Linked DNA regions of Alligator mississippiensis. The protein of the gene in region 1 binds, or shares a complex with, the protein of each later gene. Links are inferred from orthologs where the notes say so. Each region holds a gene or a part of one and is shown in the gene's direction. Other genes may lie near its edges.

Region 1 (7,885 bases):
TGTCCCGCTTTGCACCAGGAGCAATGAGATCTCGCAGCAGGATATTTATATCCCTGGTTTCAGGTTCGTCCTGCGGCGCTGGGAGGCAGAGGAGGAGCCCCGGGAGCAGAGCTGGGAGCCTGTGACCATCTGCAGCAATGGCAGGAAGGGTTCGGTCCAGCCCTTGCAAGCTCCGTCCAGCCACCAGCGGGTGGGAGGGCAGGAGGGAGATGGCCCTGGCTGGGCTCTGGTCCCTGGCAGGGAAACTCCTGGTATGTTAGCAGCTGCCTTGGTGCATGGGGAGGCGGCTCTGAGATGCCCCCAGGATGACACACGGGTGGGTCCGTGGGGCGGCGCCGGACCTTGGTGGGCAACTGTGGTGCCCGCTTGTTCCACTGACCTCTGCCTTTTCCGCCGTGGGGTGTCTTGGGCTGGGACTCCAGGGACGTCTTCCCCGTGTTGCTGCCAGATGTGAGGCAAGGCTCATCCTTCCCTGCCCTGATCCTGTCGGGGACTCTGGCTGCCGGGCTCATTTGGGGCCACTTGGCAGACGTGCTGCTCGTGGTATAAGGTAAATGCTGGGCTGCTGTCACCAAGATGCAGAGTTTGCGTGTTTATCCTCCTAGCACAGATGGGGAAACTGAGGCAGGGAACAGGTGAGAAGGGCTGGGGTCCCAGCCTAGCCCCATGCAGAGAACACTGCCCGTGCTAGACTGCACGCTTGGGCCGCTCTCTTGCAGGCATCAATAAAGCCAGCCCAGTGCCTGCTCCAGCTCCCAGCCTGCTCTGCCACCGATTTCCTGGGGCTCCTTGGGCAAGTCCCTTAGGCTGCCTCCCCTCAGCAAGAGGAAGGGGGATGGTGGTAGCTGTGCCCTGGTCCCTGGTGTGTGCTTGGGGGCCCAGGCTGCTGTTGCCCCGGCTCACTTGACTGCCTTGCAACCCCTCTTCCTCTTGCTATCTGGCCCCCTCCCTCTGCAACTTGTTACCCTTTGTAATGGAGGGGGAAAGTCCTGCCTGCTTTCCAGGGAGGGGAAGATACCCAGGTACCCCAAGAAGGGGTAAGTAGCTGGCCTCCTGGCTGGCTCTAAGCCCCCGCAGCTCCTCTAGCAGGAAGGCTGCACCCTTGTGCCATCCCCTGTCTCTAGCAGCTCAGTGGCAGTGCCAGGCTGATGCCCCTGCCCTCCCCTTCCCCCAGCCTTGCTGCTGGGCAGGCCAGGCTGGCTCCATCACCCCTGCAGGAGTAGGCTTTGATCTCCCTCCAGGGATCAGCCCATGGGAGGGTTGACACAGGCACGACATCCCCCGAGACGTGTCTCGCGCGGTGCCAGGAGTGCCTGCAACGTGGGGGGATCCGGGATGGTGAGTCACTTCTCCCGCCCACCATGCCCAGCCCGGCAGCCCCTGGGCCTGAAGAGCAGGGAGTAATTTGGGATGCAGCATTGGGATTGCACTCCCCAGCCCCACTTCATGTGTGGCCGGGGCCCTGTCCCTCCTCCAGCCGACTGCCTGGCACCTGGTGCCCTGGGGAGGTGCGCTCCGCAGGTGACTGGTGCTAAGAGGCTCTGATCTCGGACAGGGGAGTGCAACACGAACCCGACTCTGCCTGTCATCACCAGGCGCCTGACATTCGCTTGTCCTCTGTTATCCCGCTGTGCCCAGAGCCCACGGGGAGGATCAGGCCCCATTCCCAGAGACCTAAGAAGGTGGCACTGGAGGGGCTTATAACGGGCAATGGTGGGAGAGTCTCATTCTGACTCTGCCACCGACTTCCCACAGAGGCCTTGGGCGAGTCCCTTTTCATCCCAACCCCTCTGCAGGCAGGAGAACACTGCAGCAGACGGCCCTGGGCCAGCAGGAGCCACAAAGACACGTGAGCCATGTCGGGTACATCTGCACAGCAAAACCACGGAGGCTGGCGAGTCCCCAGCGCCGTTGGGCGGCAGGATTGTTTTAGAACAAGGGCAGACGGGCACTTGTCTGGGATAATTTGGACCGGGTTGATCCTTCCCGCAGCCGGAGGCTGGACTGGATCCGAAGCCTGGCTGCTCAGCGAGATGAATCTATAACTATCGCTCGTAAGCGAGGAGTGCGGCGAACGTAGGAAGCCGTCTAGGAATGTGCGCCGTGATCTGGAGTTTGACTCAGCATCCTGGCCATGGCTCTCTCCAAGAAGGAGGGAAAACAATCATCTCATTAATCCTTCGAGCCCATTAACGAATGAGTAGGGCAGAGCCAAAGAAATGGAGCTCTTCATCGCCCTTCCAAGCCAGCACGGGCCAGGAACCGGCAGCTGGAGGTGGGAGGTTGGTTTCAGGTCTGGGAGGGCAGAAATTCGCCCCCTGGGGTGGCTGGTGCCTGCAGGTCGGCTCTGGGGCTACATGGGACCCCTTTTCTTTGGGATTGGAGCTGCCCGCTGGGCACAGGATGAATTGCAAACAGCTGTGGTAGGTGGATGACATCTGCCCCAGGCCTCCCTGCAGCCAACGCAGCAATGGCTGTTGAGAGGCAGCATTGCCAAATGGAGAGTGCCCCGGCCAGGAGGAGAGGCCCTGCGATGCGCTTCCTGGGTGGCCACCGGCTAGCCCCTTTGACTCGCTCTCTGCCTCAGTGTCCCCAGCTATCAAAACCAGGCTGAAGACTACTGATGGAAACAGCACCCCGCGGGTCGGGCACTGCCGCTCCCTGCACTGTCCAGAATGCCATTCATTGCCAACTTCTGGACGGCGTCTGCAGCCCCCTGGGGGCACGGAGAGCCCAGGCAGGGAGAAGCAGGGCGCCCCATGAGCAGGGTCTTGTCTCGAGGCTGGTGGTGGCAGTTCCCTGCTCTCCCCAGCCGGACAGGGGTGTGCAGCACTCCCGGCAGCGATGGCAACTGGTAGCTGTGATGGACACAGGAATGCACTTGGTCTTGCAGTGGAAGGGGGCTGTTCCACCATCGTAGATCTCCGCAGCCTCCACAGCTGGGGGCAGAGGGAGACCGCAAGCTGGGTTCAGAGCTCGGGGAGAAGACGATGGGTCCAAGGTGCATGCAGATGCTGAGATGAAATGCAGGGACTTACCTTTGCATCTGGGTACCGCTGACCCGGTCCAAGAGACAAGGATAAGTAACAGAGCTCAGACCCTGGAGACTACCCCGGGAGTCACCCGCAGAGAGTGGGTGCAGAGGGGGGCTCTGCAGTGCCCTCCATGACGCCCCGCACCTTCTGCCCCTATTTTTGCTGCCACTCCAGGCAGGGGGAAGGTGACACAGGGGGCCAGATCCACCAACCCCTTGTTAGGCCTGTCCTGGATGCTCTTGCAGGTCCCAAGCCTGTGGAAAGACACGGCTTGTGCAGGGTTGGGGGGGTTGTCAATGGAGAAAGGCCAGGCTGAACCCCCCATTTTGCCTGCAGTCTTGTGATGTATCAGGGGAAGTCCAGAGAGAGGCAAGTCCCTTGCCCTGAGCCTGGCCTGTCACAGCCTGTCTGGGCCCCTCTCACCCACACCATGGGGTCCAAAGCAAAAAGCACCAGAGGCCCAGACGACAGTGAGGACGCAGCTAAATCCACCTGGCAGAGCGACACTTGGCACAGGATCTTTCAAGACCCCTGCCCCAGTGGGGAAACACACAGCGAAGAGGACCTTGAGACAACCAAATCGGAAGACAGTCCTCCAGTGGGTGAAATGAGTTTGCAACCCCTTCGTTGGGGACGGGACTAAGAGGCCAGGGGCTGTAGGGAGACGATGCCTTGCAGACGGGCCTGCCTTTCCACGGGTGCGAGGATTGTAACGGCTGGTGGGTTCCTACGGTGGGTCAAGGAGACAACGATCAGTGAGCAGAAGGTGTGTGTGTATACGTAGATACGGGGCAAGGGCAGTGACCATGGGTGACCAGTCACTGGTGGGTTAAGGAGGCAATGATCGGTGACTAGACTGTGTGTATGTGTGTGTATATATGTGCACGCTTATGTGTGTGTGTGTATATATATATATATATATATATATATATATATATATACACGTGTGTGTGTGTATACATGTATATACAACCTTTATATGGGTTAAGGAGGCAGTGATCAGTGACCAGAAGGGGTGTATGTATACGTAGATATGGGGCAAGGGCAGTGACCATGGGTGACCAGTCACTGGTGGGTTAAGGAGGCAATGATTGGTGACTAGACTGTGTGTATGTGTATATGTGTGTGTGTGTGTGTAGATAGATAGATAGATAGATAGATAGATAGATAGATAGATATGTGAGTGTGTGTACATGTTTATACAACCTTTATATGTCTTTATATGGGTCAAGGAAGCAGTGATCAGTGACCAGAAGGTGTGTGTATACATAGATATGGGGGAAGGAGGCATTAACCATTGATCAGTGACTAGATCATGTGTATATCTATCTATATCTATAGATATATCTTTATCTATCTATCTATCTATAGATAAAGATCTCTCTCTCTATATATATATAGAGAGAGAGATCTTTATCGATCGATCGATAGATAAAGATATATCTATATCTATCTGTATCTATCTCTATATACAGATCGATGTAGATCTAGACGGAGATGCATGCTGTGCGGGCCGAGGCGGCAGTGGTGGCTCGGGACGAGCTCGGTGCCCGGGAGGTGCGTGTGTCCGTGCAGACACGGGGTCGGGGTCGGGGTCGGGCGCAGTGGCGCGACGGGGCAGGGGAACACAACCTTTCTGTGTGTGTCTCTCTCTGGGCAGATGACGTTTATTCTGGCCCCCAAGAAAGCCGCCGAGCCCCAGCGGCGGCCCCGATCCGGGCTCCGCCCCGGCCCCGGCTCCTCCCGCGGGCGGGCGGGCGGGGCGGCGCGGGTCGGGCCCGGCCGGGCTGGCGCTGCAGCATGCGGGGCGCGGAGGAGCGGGAGGCGGGCGAGGGCGAGGGCGAGGACGAGGCGGCCCGGCGGGGCGCGCAGCGGCGGCTGCGGGGCGGCAGCATGGGCGGGCGGGCGGGCAAGGGCTCGCCGAACGGCGAGTGCCGGCGCGGGGAGCCGCAGTGCAGCGGGGCCGGGGCCGAGCCGCCGCGGGAGCCCAAGGTGTCGTTCTCGTGCGGGTCGGAGAAGGCGGCCGAGGAGGGCGCGGGGCTGGCGGACGAGGCGGCCGGGGAGGAGGCGCGGGGCAGCCAGGCCAGCTTCATGCAGCGGCAGTTCGGCGCCCTGCTGCAGCCCGGCGTCAACAAGTTCTCGCTGCGGATGTTCGGCTCGCAGAAGGCGGTGGAGCGCGAGCAGGAGCGCGTCAAGTCGGCCGGAGCCTGGATCATCCACCCCTACAGCGACTTCAGGTCCGGGCTGCGCCGGGATCGGGCCGGGGTGGTCCCCGCCCTGGGGCTGGGGGCAGCGGGCACGCGGCCTGGCTCTGGTGCCCCTGGAGAGCATCAGGGATCAGACCCTCGGCACGGCTCGGAGGGAGAAGCCTGGCTTGGTGCCCGCTATAAGGCTGGGGGTCATCGGGGATCCTTCCCCCGCACCCCAGACAGGCTGCAGGGTCAGGGATCGGGGCCCTCGGCACGGCCGGGGTGGGGAGCTGCGCTTGCCCCCCTCTGTAAGGCTGGGGTCGTCGGGGATCTGCCCCAGCTTCCTTCCCGCTGTAGAGGCTGAGGGCCTCATCCCTGCTCCTGCAACCAGGCTCGGAGGTGGGGGGGTTAAAGAGGGGAGCCCGGCTTGGTTCCCACGATAAGGCTGGGGGTCGTCAGGGATCGAGCCCGGCTCTGTCCCCACTCTGGAGGGGCTGTCGGATCAGGGACCGGGGCCTTCTGCAAGGTCGGGGCAGGGGTGTGTCCTGGTCCCCACTATAAGGCTGGGGGTCATGAGGGATCAGGCCTGGCTCCATTCCCCCTGTAGAGGCTGCAGGATCAGGGCCCTCAGCAAGGCCCTGGGGGTTTGGAGATGGGGGAGCCCAGCTTGGTGCCCGCTGCAAGGCTGGGAGTCCAGGGATCGGGCCCGGCTCCAGTCCCCGTGTAGGATCGGGGAGTGGGCCTGGCTCTGCAAGGCTGGCGGGGAGGGGTGGTAGGAGCCTGGCTCAGCCCCCTCCTGTAGGGCCAGGGTGAAAGTGGGGATGGGGATCAGTGCCCCCTGCAAGGTGTGTGGGGGGGCATGGCTGGTCCGTCCCCCCTCCAGGTGCTGGTGGGGGAGGCAGAGGAGTGGGGAGGGGGCCCAGCTGCTGCCATCCCCCGCTGGGGGGGTCTGGGAAAGCGGCAGGGTCTGGGGGGGGGGTCTGTGATTCTGCCCCTGAGCTGCCATGGGCTCCGAGCGGGGGCTGCCTCCTGGGTGGTCCTTGCAGCCCCATAGCGGGAAGCAGGGGGGGCAGCTGGGGGGCTCCGGATCCCCTCGGGCCCCTCGGTGCTGGCCGCGGCTGCAGGGTCTGGAGCCGCAGACCCGGCAGAGGGGCTGGAGGGGCGGCGAGGCCCGGCTGCAGCCGAGAGGGCACCTTGAGCTGGGGCTGCAGGTTGGAGGAGCGAGGAGCGGCCCAGATGCTGGCTGCAGCCTCCTCGCTAGTGATGGGGGGGAGGGGGCCGGGGAAGCAGCTGGGTCCAGGCGCCTTCTTTCCCCCCCCCGCCCCCCTGCAGGCCCCGACCCCTTTGCTCTGCCAAGGACGTCCCTTCCCCATAGCCCAGATCCTGGAGAGACTGAACTTGAGCTTGGCCCCCTGGCAGGAGGACCCCCCCCCAGGACGGGGGCAGTAGGGATGCCCCCAGGGTCTGGATGTAGCTTGCAAGGGGCAGGAGCAACCCCACCCTCGGCCGAGCTGGCTGGGCAGAGGCTGAGCCCCACCAGCCAGGCTCCCAATTCCAGTGCAGCGGTGCTGGGGTTGGGGGGGCCCGTCGGTGCTTGGAGAACCTGTCTTGGAGGGGGGAGGGGAGCCCCGGGCAGCCGTGATGCAGCAGCTTTGGGTGTCCAGACTCGGACATGCTTTAGCGGTGGGGTCCTCTGGTCCTGCTGGGCAGGGGGGGTGGCAAAGATGCCCAGTTGTGGAGGGCAACCTCCGGGAGCTGCACGACGGGGGCAGAAGACCCTCCCTGTGTCTGAGCCCTGGGAGAGCTCGGGGAATGGGCTGGTGTCTTCCTTGAGGGCAAAGGGCTGGTTGGGAGACGCAGCGACGCGAGGCTTTTTGCAGCGCTTAAAAATACAAAGCTCCTTCTTCCTTCTCCCCCCCACCCAGTAATGCTAATCCTAAAAGTGGGGGGGCCTTGTCTCCCCGCTGGCTGGGCCTGCGTCCCCGTGAGGCCCACGCTTCCCATGGCAGGCTCTGAGGATGCTGCTGTCATGGGAGCTCTGGGTACCACGTTCTCCTCCTGCCTTGGCTGCCTCTGCCTTCCTGGAAGCATCCAGGCGGTAGCAGCCGGCCCGGCGCTCCCCCCCCCACACCTCCCCGAGCCGGCAGGCACCGGGAGAGAGCCTCTCCTCTCCGAAGCGGGGTCCTCCTGGCGCTGCCCCCGTGGCTGGGACCGGAGGGACCGGATCAGTCTCAGTCTCCTAACGATGCTGCTTCCTGTCTGATGAGCTGTGGGGGGGTTCAGCGGCTCGCCAGCCCAGACCGGCGCGAATCTGTTTGGAATACTGATGGTCCCTGCCGCGGTCTGGCGCTCAGACATGCCAGCCGCGGCCGGGGCCTTCCCCCAGCAGGTGCTGTGCAGACAGCTGCAAAGAGCCGAGCCTGGCCCCAGGCAGCTTGCAAAGGCAAGGGGCAGGTAGTTGCCCGAGGTCACCCTGCTCGGTGCCGGGGGATCTGGGATCCCTGACTCGGCCATCCCCGGTCCCCCGTCATGTCCCCCAGCCCGGCAGGGGTCTGCTTTTCTGTGCCCGCTGCCGTCCATGGGAAGCCTACATAAGGCCCTGCTCCCTGGGTGCCTTACGGCATGGGTCTGGCTTGCCGAAGGGGCCCTGCGCGCGGCAGA
Region 2 (7,018 bases), on another chromosome or scaffold:
TACTTTGGCGCCATTCAGAAACACCAGCTGTTAAAACAGCATATAGTATATTCCCCTAAAGAATCCGCCAGGGTGGGTTTGCAGATGTTTTCACATCCTTGCAGAAATGACTATTGCTATTGATTCTCTCAGACCTGAAAATGAACCTGAAGATTTTGGTAGCAAGCTTTTCACTGACCTCAGTGTGTGGAGGAAATACTTTAAACTCTTTTGCTTATCTTTTTTTGGAGATGCCTCCTAAAAGGAATGGCTCAGTGTTAGTTGTAGCAGATAACAAAGCACAGACATGTTACTCAATGTGACTGCCACAGCATATTGTATGAAAACCAGTCATACCTTTTCCTTACACCATTTCATTCTCGGCGCTATCCTTGCTTGATATGCAGTTTTGCATGTTCCGCATCATCATGCACACTGCAGACAAAAGAGGTATTTGTGAAACTCATTCACGGAGTTATCAAAATGCTACATATATAACAAATTAATTTACCTCGGGTTTTTGAGTAACTGTTCATTATGTGGAACTGGCACATGCCAAGTGAGCTGTTTCAGAATTACAGTGTTTGAGCACCAAGCTAACGTAACAGGCAAAATACATACAGCAAGCCAAACTGCTGAGACACAGTGCTGCACAATGAAGGCAGCCAAGTAAATAAGCAGTGTGCATTTGTAAACACACTTCTTCCCTGAGTTTGGTTCCAGCAATCATTGTATTTGGACTGCCATCACGAGAACTCGACAGATAACTATTTCAGATGCAGTTCACAAACTGTTTGTGTTGCAGAGAGGATAGACTTGCCCACCTACATGCCAGACGCAGTCTAACTTCTGCCCCACGCTCCTGCCAACGGAGGTACTGATGCCAAATTTAACAGACAGGCAACACTTTAGAATACACAAAAATTCATACAAGTATTAGGCACCAACACCTCTCTTCAGGGATGTGAATTGGTGACTGGACTGTCAGAGGTACTGAGTACCTTCATTTCCACCCGCTAAAACCCCTGGAGATTTTAGCTGCTGTATTGTAGTCTTCCTTTCCTAGGATTAAGTTCGTTGCCAGATAAGTTCTGATTCCAAAATTGTTATTGTGCATCATTAATTTGTCCATTATAAATTAGCTTGGTTCACATATACTCTGTCCATGTTGCAGCTCATTTGAAATGTTTTCTTTTGATTTGCAAACATAGCAAATGTGATACAAAGTCACTAAGGGTAAAGAAATATAGTCTCCCAAGATGTTATTCTCATTAAATTGCTGTTGTAACTATGGCCAGGGTTTTAGGCTAAGTAGAGACAGTCAAAAATCCCAAGGCTGAATCGATTAAATCCTCACTGGTTAATCTAAAATGTATCATTTGAAGTGATAAGCAAATAAACAGAAGCATGGGGGGCACTAGAGCAAACCTTCCTGCTTGGCTGAAGCAGACAGCTTGGCCACCTGCCCACCGTGTAAGGGAGGGTTTGTGGGAGAGGTGCAAAGCATCCTGGGATGCTGGGGGACTGTAAGTTAACTTGAATCTGGAGGGGATCTGGGACAGAAGTTCAATCAACTGATTTAACCTAAATCAGTTAAGTCTGATACTACAACCGTCCAGGTTCATCTTAAAATGCTTGTGGCCATCTTGCAAGAGGTTTATGTCCACTGAACTTCTGTTGTGTTACGGATTTAAACTAGTTTCCGATCACTTATTCCAGTTTATGTGTAATTTCTGTCCTTCGAAGTGATAAGACACATGGTGTGTATCAACCACCCACAGGGTTATATTTTAAAAAATTGATAGCAGGCACTAATGCAAGTATCATGACTCTTTTCAGGCAGTAGGTGAAACCTTGAAGAAAAAGTGGCTCTGTCTTCAAAAAAGTGACCTGACCTTTGCTTTGGTGGGTTTCTTCTGCACAAGAAATAAAAAGCACTGCATGCTTTCCTATGCATCCATTCTAGCTGATAACCTTCTTCGTTCTAGCATTCAGTACGAAAGGACTGAATTTTCTGAAAGTCAGGTAGCATGTTACTAGTCCTAGCTGAATAGTTGTTCCACATATCATGAGAAAATATCTTCATGGAATTGTAACTTACCATAATGGATTGTGAACAGAGTACATCAAGATTTGGCCAAAACCTTTGATATGCTTAGCAATTGGAACTTAGTTCTCATCAAACGATTCCAAACCAGTTTTGCAGCGTCTTTTGCCATTCTTTGGATATCAAAGGAATCATAAATGTAGCATGCCTATGTTTAATGACGCGGAATGAGAACTTCTTGCAGCATGCAAAGACCTCTCCATAGGGTGACTGTGATATGTTGCACAAAAAAGCTCATTTGCCATTGTTTTGATCATTCAACTGTTGTTAAATTGCAATGTTAAGTACATTCTCATTGCTGGACTAGAGAATACAGTATTTCTGATTTTAAGAGCTACATTATGTAGTTCAGTGTTAATAAACAGTATCCTTCCCTGAACAGTGCTTCAATGAAAAATCTAATAAGGCTCTTAGTTAATGAAATATAGTTAAGCTTATAATAAAATGTTGTTGCCATGGAGCCAGATTCTGTAGTCTTTGTGCATCCCAGTTTCCCACTGATTTCAATGGGAGTTTTGTGAGGGTAAGAACAGTGAGCGCATACCCTAGCTGAGTCACAAAGAAAATTCAACTCTGCTATTCTGCTCTACCAGCACACTGAAGACACCTATTGACATTTGTTTGAGCCTATAAGGAGAGCAGAGCAGCAGAGGTCCACTATCTGTCAAACTGATCCAAAAGGAAAATTTTGCTCTTAAGTTTTTAATACTTAAAGAGACTCAAACTTTTATTTTAGTAGGTTATGCTTCTGCAAAACACAGACTAAAGAAAATTGGCCTATAATGATTTGGGGCCAGATCCAATTCCCAAAGTAGTCAGTGGGAGTACATATTTGATTCTTAAAAACTCAAAAGCCTGGAATTTTTAAAAGCCAGTAAAGATTTCTATTTCTGTTCTCCAAATTTTAAGGCTTTATACACTTCACGTATGTTCTTCCTCTTAAGTCTGCAGGTATGTGCCTGCACTTTGTATCTCTGTAAGATGGATGCCTCAGAGCCCTAGCATCTTTCAAAAAAATTAATAGATTTATTTGATTTAGGTCTTATCATTTTTCTCATTTTAAGAACTTTAACGTCCTCTCAATACTTAAAGTCCAGTGCATTTAAAAAAACCTGTCATGTAAAAAAAAATCCTTTCTGCCATATTCTGTATCGCTATCAATTACTGCTTTCAGTGACATTTACCCCACCGTCAAAGATAACAGAATATGGCTCCTTAGGCTCTATAAATGAAGCCATGACCTTGCTTATGACATGTAACCTACTTTATAAAAAATATTTCAAATAAAAGATTTTAAAAGCTCTGGGCCTGTATAACACTTTCAACCCAGTCCTACAACCTGAATTTCCACTTAATGTCAAGGAAAGTTTGCCAGAGAAAACAAACCACAAGGATCTGTCCCTTTATTTGGAAATGCAGTGCAAGCTCTCATTTTAGTAGAAAGCTTATCCTGGTGTAGATCAGCTGTGAAATTTCAGTTAACCACAGTTACTTTGCAGTGAACAAATCAAGGGCCCGATCCCGCAGATCCTATTTATGTGGGGGCTCAACCCTATGAGATGCTCAAATCGTTCGACTCTCTCTGAAGTATTCCCAAAAGGCCTCGCATGATCAGGGCGACGTGCAGGCACGATCTACTTCAGTGGGGCAGCTCATATGAGCAAAGGCTACAGAGTTAGGCCCCGTCACAATCATTATTTAACAGGTTCATGGATATATATATTTTTTTTTTACAGTGTTTGTGTATTTTATTTTCTAAAAGCTTTACTTCCAGCACTTAACACCGTCATTTAATTAACGGATTGTTCTGGGGTATATATTTTGTGATCAGTAATAAAAAGTTTCCTCCTGACACAAGCCATTGTTGATTTCACTGTTGTAGGGGAAAGGCTCTAGGGCGGCAGATAAGGCTGTTGCCATGGTGATGAAGGAGATACCGAGGGAGGAGTCTGCAGAGGAAAAGCCCCTCCTTACTATGACATCACAGGTGGGCAGAATGCTAGGATTCCAGGAGGCAGCTGACATATGTTAATCTAATGGAGAATGTAATTAAAGTGAGCAGCAAAGCCATTGCCATTCTTGAGTCAAATTTAATAGGCAATTATAGTTTTCCCTGAAAAAGACCAATGATGATGAAATGTTACCCAAACGTGGGGAAAACCCTTTATTCATTGTTTAGTTTTGCAATTGGTATATTTTAGTTGTAGTGACTCTACTGGAGCTTAAGCCTTTAGAAAAAAATGTTTTGTACGAAATGTAAGTCAACAAATGTTGTTTCACGATAAAGTATGACTGAAAAAACATAGCTGTGCAATATTAAACCTGTGCTTTGGAAGTTTGAACAAGGAAAAAATGAACACAAATCCAAATCCTCTAACCAAATTTTTTTTTTTAGGAAGTACAGCAGACACATGTCAGTTACCAGTAGAGCATCTACAATTGATTTAAGATGTCAAGTATTACTCGTGCTGTCACATACTCTAAGCATTCACACATACAATAAGTAACAACCACTTCACTGCACCTAGCATCGTTTTTAAATCCCGTACATCAGCTCCCTTCTGAAAGTTTTCACTAACATGTAAGACACATTTCAATTAGAACAGAATTTACACATTTCATTGCTTTCATTTTTGTAAAGCTAGTCGATTCAAGGACTTGGTTCCATTTCCTGAAACTTGGCAGTCAGAACCACTGAGGAGCATTAAAGTCTTTTTATTAGCTTATTGCAGACAGTGAAAGACTAACACTGAATAATGAAAACCTCAGTTCACTGTAGCACTGGTTGTTACTCCCAGCTGTTGCAGACATGCACTTTTGTTTCACAAGAAAGTGTTATGAGTAACCAAAATAACACTAACATAAAACACATCTGAACTAGATGATACAAAAAAATTCCACGAGGGGTTACAGAATCCTAGCAATGGTGTAAATTTAGCAATATTTTTCTCAGTGATGTCTATAGTAATAGACTGTAATATAATTCCTTCATTTGATTCTTAATATGTAAAATACGAGTACATGATTTATTCATATTCAACAATAGGTTTAGTAGTGTGGTTATTCTTAAGAAAATAATCATCTTCAAAAAAAATCCCAAACACTTTATTCTTCCTTTTGCACTGTAATTATTATTCCAAATATGTTACGTGTAAAACGCTAGCGCAAGTTTGCCTTATGGATAGCATTTGTATTATAATACTTCAATAATTAGCAATAGAAGTTTTCATTGATGAAATTTTCCTATATTTTTAAGTCACGTCTGTCAATTTCCTCCCAGACCCCTGTCGAAACACTTGTGTTATACTTGTAATTTCTTGCATTAGTTAAAACATGGTTGCATGAGGGAATAGGATGCTTGGTTTAATGCATCATATTCTAGTTTTGCACTAACCAACTTATGAATCACAAGTATTAGAAGCCAGGAGTGAAACCCTGGCCCTACTGAGGTCAATGGCACAATTACCATTGATTTCAACAAGGCTGAGAGTTCAACCTAGATTCATAAAATGTTTGATGCATCATTGTATTGCTTGTCTGTCAATTTACTCAGCAGTAGTCTGTGACAATTATTCTAAGTAAAATGCTTGTGTCTGTGAGCATAAATTTCTTCCACTAAACACAAGTACCTACTTCCCTGCTATGCACCAATGGTGTGCACAAGCCAAAAGGAAGCAGAATCAAGTGAAAAGTGAGTATTTTCCATAGTCACCTCTATATCATGTATGTGTGATGTGTACTATATGATCATATCACGTCTATCACTCATATCCTAATTGGATGTAACAGTGTTTGCAAATGGTTGTGTTTTTAGTGTCTGCCTAAACCTCTTGCTCAGCCCATTCACCCAGAATAAAGTATTACAATACTGGAAATACATTCAGCCTTCACCATTCATATGTCTGTCTGAATTCTTCATATGAAGAGATAGATGGATGTGGCTGCAGCTCACAAAAAGTGCAAAACACCTATCTAATAGAAATAATCGTTAAGCATGCATTGGTCACGGACAAATTCATGTCAGATAAATTTCAGATCAACAGACTATCTTGCTAGAGTCATCACCTAATAATCACAGTGAAATCAGCACTGAAGAATGCTATAAAATTGTGTAATAGTTATACCTGTGACACCTACCACAAGATGTCATAAAATGCATTAGGGGCCTGATCGTGCAGCCTCCTTTTGCTGTGCAATTCCCATTAAACTCAGTGGTCAATCTACATGCGAACTGACTTCCACAAAGAGGCACAGAGGGAAATACATGAAATTCCTGGTTAATCCGACTCAGCTGTTTTTATCATGCACAAAATACAAACCACCTCCACCACCCTGCACAACATGCTTCATAAAGTAGGACCCACCATGTGCTTGACTGAGGAAGCAAACTGCTTTCTCTCGCCAGTTTAGGTAGGTCCCTAGACATAACGAACTGGCTTGTTGAACAGGGAAACGCTTTGCTGAACAGGAATATCCTGTGAGTATTTTACTGAATCAGAGCATTTATTCTCTCAGAATAGTAACGATAGCACATGATTAGAAACTGACCAAAAGTACCATTTTTTAATAGTCTCAAGCAAATGATCACAAATGATGTAAAGAGAGGTAGTTATTCTGAACTTGGGCAGAAAGCAGGGCCAGGTGGCACATTAGAAACTAACTGGTTTAGAGAGGCATGAGATTTTGTAGTTAGCAATGATCTGGAGCTATCTATCAAGAAATTCACTCTTCTGAACAGTGCACAAATCTTAGAATGACACAGATTGCTTATCAATGATTCACCCCCAGGAAAAAAATGCCAAATTATTTGTGGAAATCAATTTACTCTATTCTGTTCAGAATTGAAATGTGTGGGGTATGCAGATGAGACAGACACCTGGTTAGAATGGCCTAGTCAGGGATAATCCTGTCTTGAGCAGAGGGCTGGACTAC

The links. The genes of interacting proteins can lie anywhere in the genome.
Region 2: the proteins of HCN2 (region 1) and PEX5L are in contact, whole or in part, in a crystal structure (PDB 4EQF), measured with the Mus musculus proteins. The link is inferred for Alligator mississippiensis from reciprocal best matches to the Homo sapiens genes HCN2 and PEX5L. Residues at the interface, in NP_032252.1 of Mus musculus: Leu859, Ser860, Ser861, Asn862, Leu863; in NP_001156988.1 of Mus musculus: Glu315, Glu317, Val343, Asn347, His426, Asn453, Arg454, Ala457, Thr458, Ala460, Asn461, Tyr472, Arg484, Tyr487, Asn488, Ile491, Ile494, Ile537.

The regions. Positions count from the first base shown.
Region 1 is NC_081839.1:3,507,217-3,515,101, reverse strand, and holds the start of HCN2 (potassium/sodium hyperpolarization-activated cyclic nucleotide-gated channel 2), read left to right. Parts: upstream 1-4,835; coding exon 4,836-5,272; intron 5,273-7,885. UniProt on the Homo sapiens protein: Hyperpolarization-activated ion channel that is permeable to sodium and potassium ions. Displays lower selectivity for K(+) over Na(+) ions. Contributes to the native pacemaker currents in heart (If) and in neurons (Ih).
Region 2 is NC_081830.1:80,679,848-80,686,865, reverse strand, and holds the start of PEX5L (PEX5-related protein), read left to right. Parts: upstream 1-3,974; 5' UTR 3,975-4,004; coding exon 4,005-4,073; intron 4,074-7,018. UniProt on the Homo sapiens protein: Accessory subunit of hyperpolarization-activated cyclic nucleotide-gated (HCN) channels, regulating their cell-surface expression and cyclic nucleotide dependence.